Linked DNA regions of Sus scrofa. The protein of the gene in region 2 binds, or shares a complex with, the protein of the main gene of each other region. Links are inferred from orthologs where the notes say so. Each region holds a gene or a part of one and is shown on either strand. Other genes may lie near its edges.

Region 1 (3,750 bases), on a different chromosome or scaffold from region 2:
CTGTGAAGGTTAGTGTGGTGAGAGCACAGTGAACAAGCAGGAAAATTAGCAGGAGGTGAAGTCAGAGGTGACCTGTTTTATTGTTACTGATCTATGGGCTGAGACCTCCAGGATCTGGTCGAAACTGTGCTGTTGTGCAACAGTTATAGTCCTTCCAGACTATAAGCTTTCAAGGAACCCTTCTGTCTTGTTCACTGCTGCCTCCCCACCACCAAGCACAGAGCCTGGCCTACAGCAGACACCCAGTGACTTTTTGTGGGAGTGAACAATACAGAGACCATGTATTGAGTGCTTATTGTGTGCTATGCTTGGGGCTAAGCTTTGCATCCCCCACTGTCCTCAGCCCTAGCCCTGAGGGGGAGGGGAGATGGGTCCCTAAGTATCATCCCAGGCAGCCATGGGGAAAGGGGGCAGAAGAGCCTGGCAAATGGTGGTGCTTTTAGACACTATCCTCATGCAATGGACTTACTCAGTGAGGAGATTGCTCTTACGATCAATGAACTTGAGAGCTTCTGCCAGTGTCAACTCCAGGAAGAAACCATATCCAAGGGCCACGTAGATCCGTGAAGTGTCTGGGCTGAGGAAACAGTAGTTAGAGGAAGGGGGGAAGTCCTTATCGCTGTTCAGCATACCACATGGTTTATTTAAGATCTAAAAAAAAAAATTCCCATCCCCCCACCTTCCCCAAATTTGAAGCTCTAGGAGGGCAGGGATTTTCTCCTATATTATTCACTGTCACATCTCCAGCACCTAGTGTCTGGTCTGTAGCAAATACTCAAAAAATATTTGCTGAATGAAGGAAAGGGGAAACTGAACCCTGTGGGCTCAGAGGGGGTGGGTAGACACTCACACCACTGTGTCAACGAAGAAGTTACAGCCCAAATCCACCTGCATATATAACTCCGAGTGATTAGTCTCCTGTGGGGCCAGGGAAAAAGAGGTAGGGGTCAGTGGTCAACTTTTAGGTCAGGTGACGAGTTTTGGTCTGGGGTCTCTCCTCTCTTCCCCCTCCTTTGCCCACATAAAGAAGGTATACCTAACCCTGGCATCTTTACCTGGAGTCGCTCAATGACATTTCTCAGCTGAAGGTATTTGGCCAGCTGTTCATATACCTTGTCACGATGGTCCAGCACCTTTCTGATGGGACAAGAGTAAAATGGTGACCAAGAGGAGGCCTGTCCCTCTTGAAATACCTCATATCATGACTCTCTGACACTCTCCTGTCACCATGCCCTAAAGAAGCAGTTTAGGACTCTGGGTCAGACTGCTTTGGTTTGAATGCAGGCTTTCCTTTTTACTAGCTGGGTGACTTTGGCAAGTGAGTAACCTCTTTGGGTCTCAATTTCCCTGTCTAATAAAACAGGGATGACAAATATTACCTCATAGAGTCATTAGGAAGATTAAATGAATGTTTACTATAAAGCATTTAGAACAGTGTCTGCCAAACAGGAAGCTTTATAAATGTGTTAGCTATTATTTATTAGTATTATTATTACACTCCCAAATGCCTTCCTCCAATCACACTCTCCCATTCTTACTCTAGAAATATCCTCCATCCCTTTTAGGATGCTCATAATCCTAGACCTGAACACTGTACTTCCTGCTCAGATTAATAATACCAGTAATTTTTCATACTCACTGACCCTCTAGTATCCAAGTTAAATCCTTTAGAACTGAACACATTGAAAACTCAAAACCATTGCATGACGAAGGTTCTGTTTATTTCCCCATTTCACAGATGAGGAAACTGAGGCACAGAAAGTCAAAGCGAGGTACAACGTATTCACATGGAAAGCGAAATGGCCAAGCCAGGATTCCAACCTGGAAACTCTGGCTTCAGAACTCTCGCTCTCAATCCTTAAGCGCCTTCAGAGGCCGCGCATGCGCCAGCACACTCTCCGCTAAGACCGCCCGGTCTCCACCCCCGTCGCACCCCGGACATCGCCCCTCCTTCCCGCTCGAAAGGCGCGCGGGGCCGGGCTCCGAATGCCTGGCCCACCAATCAGAAGGCTAGGCCCTTACTTCGAACGCCCCGCTCACCACGTGGACCGCGGCAAGCACCCCGCCCCCCTGTTCTGTCACTCACTGCAGGTCCCGCTGCAGCACGTCAGAGATGAAAGCCTCGTAGCGCAGCACTTTCTCCGCCGTGGCTTCCACTGCCCGCCGTTTAGGGGGCGTCGCCATGATGGGCTCCTGAGGAATGGGGAGGGGGAAGAGCACGTTGACCACTCAGTTTGGCCTCCAGCACAGTACAATTGCACCCTCTCAACGGTGGGAGTAGGATCGTCCGGCTCGTGCTGGGGGGGGGTGAGCTTTCTCCCCCTCCCAATTCAGGGTCTCCGTCACCCAGGGACACCCAAACGCGGCTGTTACCTGAGAGCCGCCGGCAAAAGGAGCGGCTGGTAAGAACCGCGGCTTCCGGGTGGCGCGGGTAAATGACGTCCGACGAGGGCGCTGGCCAACCAAACAACCAGGTGGGGTGGGGCAGTCGCGAGCGGAAGACTACACTGGGGAGAGGAGAAGGGCGGGGCTTTACAGAATCCGAAGAGATTACTGAAGGCTGCAGAGCGTGGGAACCCGGACGGCACGAGGAGCCTATGGGGACCGTACGTGGTTGGTAGGGGTAGGGTTTAATGGGATTTGGCGGTTTCTGGAGGAAGCGGGACGCACAGGTGGAGGTAGAGAGAGACCGAGTAAAGCGTTTAGTATTTAAGTCAGAGCTTTGGAAGCAGACCGGCAAGAATCGATTGCGGATCTGGTCTGTGAAAAGGAAAATACATCCCTGTATCCCCCTCGATTTGGACTTTCACACGGGAAGTTTGCGTTTGGCTCCCAGTAATGGGAATGAGTGTGAACATTAAAAAAAGTTTTTAGGAGTTCTTCTTGTGGCTCAGCGCGTTAGGAACCCGACTGGTATCCATGAGGATGCGGGTTGATTGCTGGCCTCGCTCGGTGGGTTAAGGATCCCGCATTGCTCTGGCTATGGTGTAGGTCGCAGACGCGGCTTGGATCTGGCATTGCTGTGGCTGTGGTGTAGGCCGACAGCTGCAGCTTAGATTGGACCCCTAGCCTGGGAACTTCCATATGCTGCAGGTGCGGCCCAAAAAAAAAAAAAAGAAAGAAAGAAAAAAAAGTTTTTAAACGGACACAAATTTTTCTAAAGTACACCTTTGACGACTCCAGCTCTGTGGCCCGCAATTCTGTGGCTTGAATCCTAGGGTTCAAGCAAAGATTGACAACGCATTACGTCTAAGCACATCATTTAATAGTGACGTCAAATGGAGGGTCGAAGCCCTCCGCCAGAGATAGGTAATATTTGGGGTTTTTTTCCTTTTTTAGGGCCGCATCCGCAGCATATAGAGGTTCCCAGCCTAGGGGTCCAATTAGAGCTGTTGCTGCCGGCCCACTCCAGAGCCACAGCAATGCCAGGTCGGAGCCGCGAATGCAACCTACACCACAGCTCAGAGCAATGCCTGATCCTTAACCCACTGAGTGAGGCCAGGGATCAAACCTGCAATCTCATGGTTCCTAGTCCAATTCGTTTCCGCTGTGCCACGAGGGGACTTCCCTGAGATAGGTAATCTTGTAGTTAGAAATAGTTCGTGTGTTTTTATTTAAATGTGTAGGCTTTTATTAATTTTTACATGCTCAAATTACTGGATAGATTTATTTCCCATGTTAGATGTTCGAATAATAGCATCTAACCCGGTAAGTCCAGGCCTGAGCCTGAAGGAGAACCCAGGTGCTGAA
Region 2 (3,650 bases):
GGCCCAGGTTTATTAGTAAAATCTTGCAAATCAAAATTTGAGAAGTTCAACCTAGTTTACAGATGATGTTGATCTTGGTGCCAGACTTTGAAACATCACTTCTTTTCATGTGAGCTTATGACTTACCAATGAAAGTAAGACAGTAATACCTGCACTATCCTAGGAAGCTCTATTAGCAAGAGAGTCAATAGTTATATCTGCTGCATATTCTTGTGCTAAAATATATTTATTTTAAAAAATAACACCCAGGGAGTTCCCGTTGTGGTGCAGTGGTTAGCGAATTCCAACTAGGAACCATGAGGTTGTGGGTTCAGTCCCTGCCCTTGCTCAGTGGGTTGAGGATCCGGAGTTGCCGTGGGCTGTAGTGTGGGTTGCGGAGGTGGCTCGGATCCCACCTTGCTGTGGCTCTGGGGTAGGCCGGCAGCTACAGCTTCGATTCAACCTCTGACCTCTGGGGTAGGCCGGCAGCTACAGCTTCGATTCGACCTCTGACCTGGGAACCTCCATGTGCTGCGGGAGCGGCCCCAGAAAAGCCAAAAAACCAAAATAAATAAATAAATAAATAAATAACACCCAGGAGTTCCACTGTGGTTCAGCGGAGTTAAGAATCCAGCATCCCTGCAGTGGCCTGGGTCACTGCTGTGGTGCGAGTTTGATCCCTGGTCCAGGAACTGCCACATGCCACGGGCACACCCAAAAACAAAACAAAACAAACCAAACCACTCAGACTGCTCTCTCTCCCAAGTTCTTTGAAAGTATATGACCAAACAGGTAAAAACGAATGCATCCTAATAAATGCTAACTTAACTTTTAAGTAGTTAAAGCATAGGGAAGGAAAATCGTTCCATTCTTGTTATACTATGACTTTAAGACAGATAAATATGTCAAAGTAGTTTAATTACAAAGTAATAGATTCTAAGTTAGAATCAAGAAAGGTCACAATAGAAAACATAAGGTAGGGAAGATAGTTCTTCCAAAAAATTACTGCATACTTTAAATGATTTAAGAGATTTTCTTCAAAAGTAATGAGAGGAATTTCAGTTCATTCAACTCATTTAAAAATGAGGAAATAACTCTATGTAAAACATGAAAATTAAAAGCAACTGGCACAATTGTGATTTTGCTCATTCAAAACAGGTTTATCTTGATTTACTCAACAGATGTGTTCCTAAAAAGCTGTGCTCAGATGTTAGCTAAAACATAAAAAAAAGGAAAAAAAATTTAATGAATTGGAGGAAAAAATTAAAACATACAAAAATACAGTGTATCATTCTGTAATGCCAAATATCATCTTAAAATGTAAACAATATCTAATTTTTCAGTGTTACATTTGAGCTTTTTTAGCTTCTTTTTTTTTTTTTTTTTTTTGCCTTTTTTAGGGCCGCACCCACGGCATATGGAGGTTCCCAGGCCAGGGGTCAAATCAGAGCTGCAGCTGCCACTTACACCATAGCTCACGACAACACCGGATCCTTAACCCACTGAGTGAGGCCAGGGATCGAACCTGTGTCCTCATGGTTCCTAGTCAGATTCATTTCTGCTGTGCCATGATGGGAACTCCCATGTGAGCATTTTTATATACTGCATCCTTCATGCTGAAGAGGAATAGCCCTTTATTTACAAATATGGGTATTAAATGCTAGCATTAAATAGCATGGATGGAAATAAATACTAATAACATCATTTGAAATATCTAAAGATAAATATGCTAGTGTCTTAAAATGGATTTTAAACATGAAATCTAAAAATAGATATTGAAAAGTAATTGTCATTCTTATAAACAGTTAAAGTTTAAAATCTGGTAAATTTGAAACATTTTAAAATTAGAATTCTTTCAGAGGAAGAATAACTAGACTATCAAAGAAATTGCTTATCTCATGTCTCAACACTGATGAAATAATCTTACCATATATGAAGGTTTCCAGCAAAATCCCCAGTAGCTAAATATCTCTGCTGTAAAGATGTTGCACCAAATGTTCCACATTTAATGGGTTTGGCCTTTTCAATCTTGAGAGAAGAGAGGGAGAGAGGATACATTATTTATGTAAGCAGCTATTTATAATCCATGATATTTATGGCTCTATTACAGGAATTAAATAGGCACACAATAAAAAAGGCAATTAAAACATTGTCTGATAAAAATTATCATGCTTTTCCTTTAGTCACTTTTATACAATTTAAAAGTTCAGGCAGGGGAGTTCCTGTCATGGCACAGTGGTTAACGAATCCGACTAGGAACCATGAGGTTGTGGGTTCAATCCCTGGCCTTGCTCAGTGGGTTAAGGATCCCACGTTGCTGTGAGCTGTGGTGTAGGTGGCAGACTCGGCTCGGATCCCGAGTTGCTGCAGCCCTAACATAGGCCAGAGGCTACAGCTCCGATTAGACCCCTAGCCTGGGAACCTCCATATGCCGAGGGAGCGGCCCTAGAAAAGGCAAAATAAATATATAAAATAATATAAAAGTTCAGGCACCTTGGAGATACTGCAAGTTGGGTTTCAGACCACCACAAGGAAGCAAACTGCAATAAAGTAAGTCACAGGAAGTCTTTAGTTTCTCAGTGCATGTAACAGTTATGTTTACACTATACTGTAGTCTGTTAAGCATGCAACAACATTACATCTGAAAAAAAAAAATACGTACCTTAATTAAAAAAACACTGTACGGCTAAACAATGCTAACCATTATCTGAACCTTCAGCAAGTCATAATATCTTTGCTGGTGGAGGGTCTTGCCTTGATGTTAATGGCTGCTGACTGATCAGGGCAGTGGTTGCTAAAGGCTTGGGTGGCTGCAGCAATTTTCTTAAAGTAAGGCAATAGTGAAGTTTGCTATTTTGACTGACTCTCACACAGGCAGCATTTTACCCACATTAGAACTTCTTTCGAAATTGGAGGCAGTCCTCCCTAGCCCTGTTTTATCAACTAAATTTATGTAATATTCTATCTAAATCCTTCACTGTCATTTCATCAATCCCACAGCATCTTCACCAGGAGTAGATTCTATCTCAAGAAACCACTTTCTTTTTTTGTTTTTACAGCTGCTCCTGTGGCATATATAAGTTTCCAGGCAAGAGGTCTAATCGGAGCTGCAGCTGTGGCCTACACCACAGCTACGGCAATATCAAATATTTAATACACTGAGCGAGGCCAGGAATCGAACCCACATTCTCACAGGGACAATGCTGGGTTCTTAACCTGCTGGGCTACAATGGGAACTCCCAGAACCACTTTCTTATTAATGTTCTATCATGAGATGTCAGCAATTCCGTCACATCTTTAGGCTCCAATTCTAATTCTAGCTCTCTTGTTATTTCCACAACTGTAGTTACTTCCCCCACTAAAGTCCTGAACCTCTCAAACTCATTCATGAGGGTTAGAAGTAACTTCTTCCGAACTCCTGTTTATGTTGATATTTTGACCTCCTTCCATGAATCATGAATGTTCTTAACAGCATCTAGAATCCTTTCCAGAAGGTTTTCAATTGACTTTGTCCAGATCCATCAGAGGAATCACTACCTATGGCAGCTACAGCCTTATAAGATGTATTGCTTAAAAGTTGAAATTACTCCTTGCTCCATGGGCTGCAGAATGGATGCTATGTTAGCAGTCATGAAAACAATGTACATCTCCAAAAGAGCTCTTGAGCGACC

Evidence for each region. Proteins that work in one complex are often made in the same cells at the same time.
Region 1: WDR92 (region 2) and UXT share a complex: the UniProt entries of both Homo sapiens proteins name them as parts of the PAQosome complex. The link is inferred for Sus scrofa from reciprocal best matches to the Homo sapiens genes DNAAF10 and UXT.

What each region holds. Positions count from the first base shown.
Region 1 is NC_010461.5:42,181,651-42,185,400, forward strand, and holds the start of UXT (protein UXT), read right to left. Parts: upstream 2,482-3,750; 5' UTR 2,374-2,481; intron 2,194-2,373; 5' UTR 2,185-2,193; coding exon 2,087-2,184; intron 1,138-2,086; coding exon 1,056-1,137; intron 919-1,055; coding exon 851-918; intron 578-850; coding exon 470-577; intron 1-469. UniProt on the Homo sapiens protein: Involved in gene transcription regulation. Acts in concert with the corepressor URI1 to regulate androgen receptor AR-mediated transcription. Together with URI1, associates with chromatin to the NKX3-1 promoter region.
Region 2 is NC_010445.4:74,091,585-74,095,234, reverse strand, and holds part of WDR92 (WD repeat-containing protein 92), read right to left. Parts: intron 2,008-3,650; coding exon 1,907-2,007; intron 1-1,906. UniProt on the Homo sapiens protein: Key assembly factor specifically required for the stability of axonemal dynein heavy chains in cytoplasm.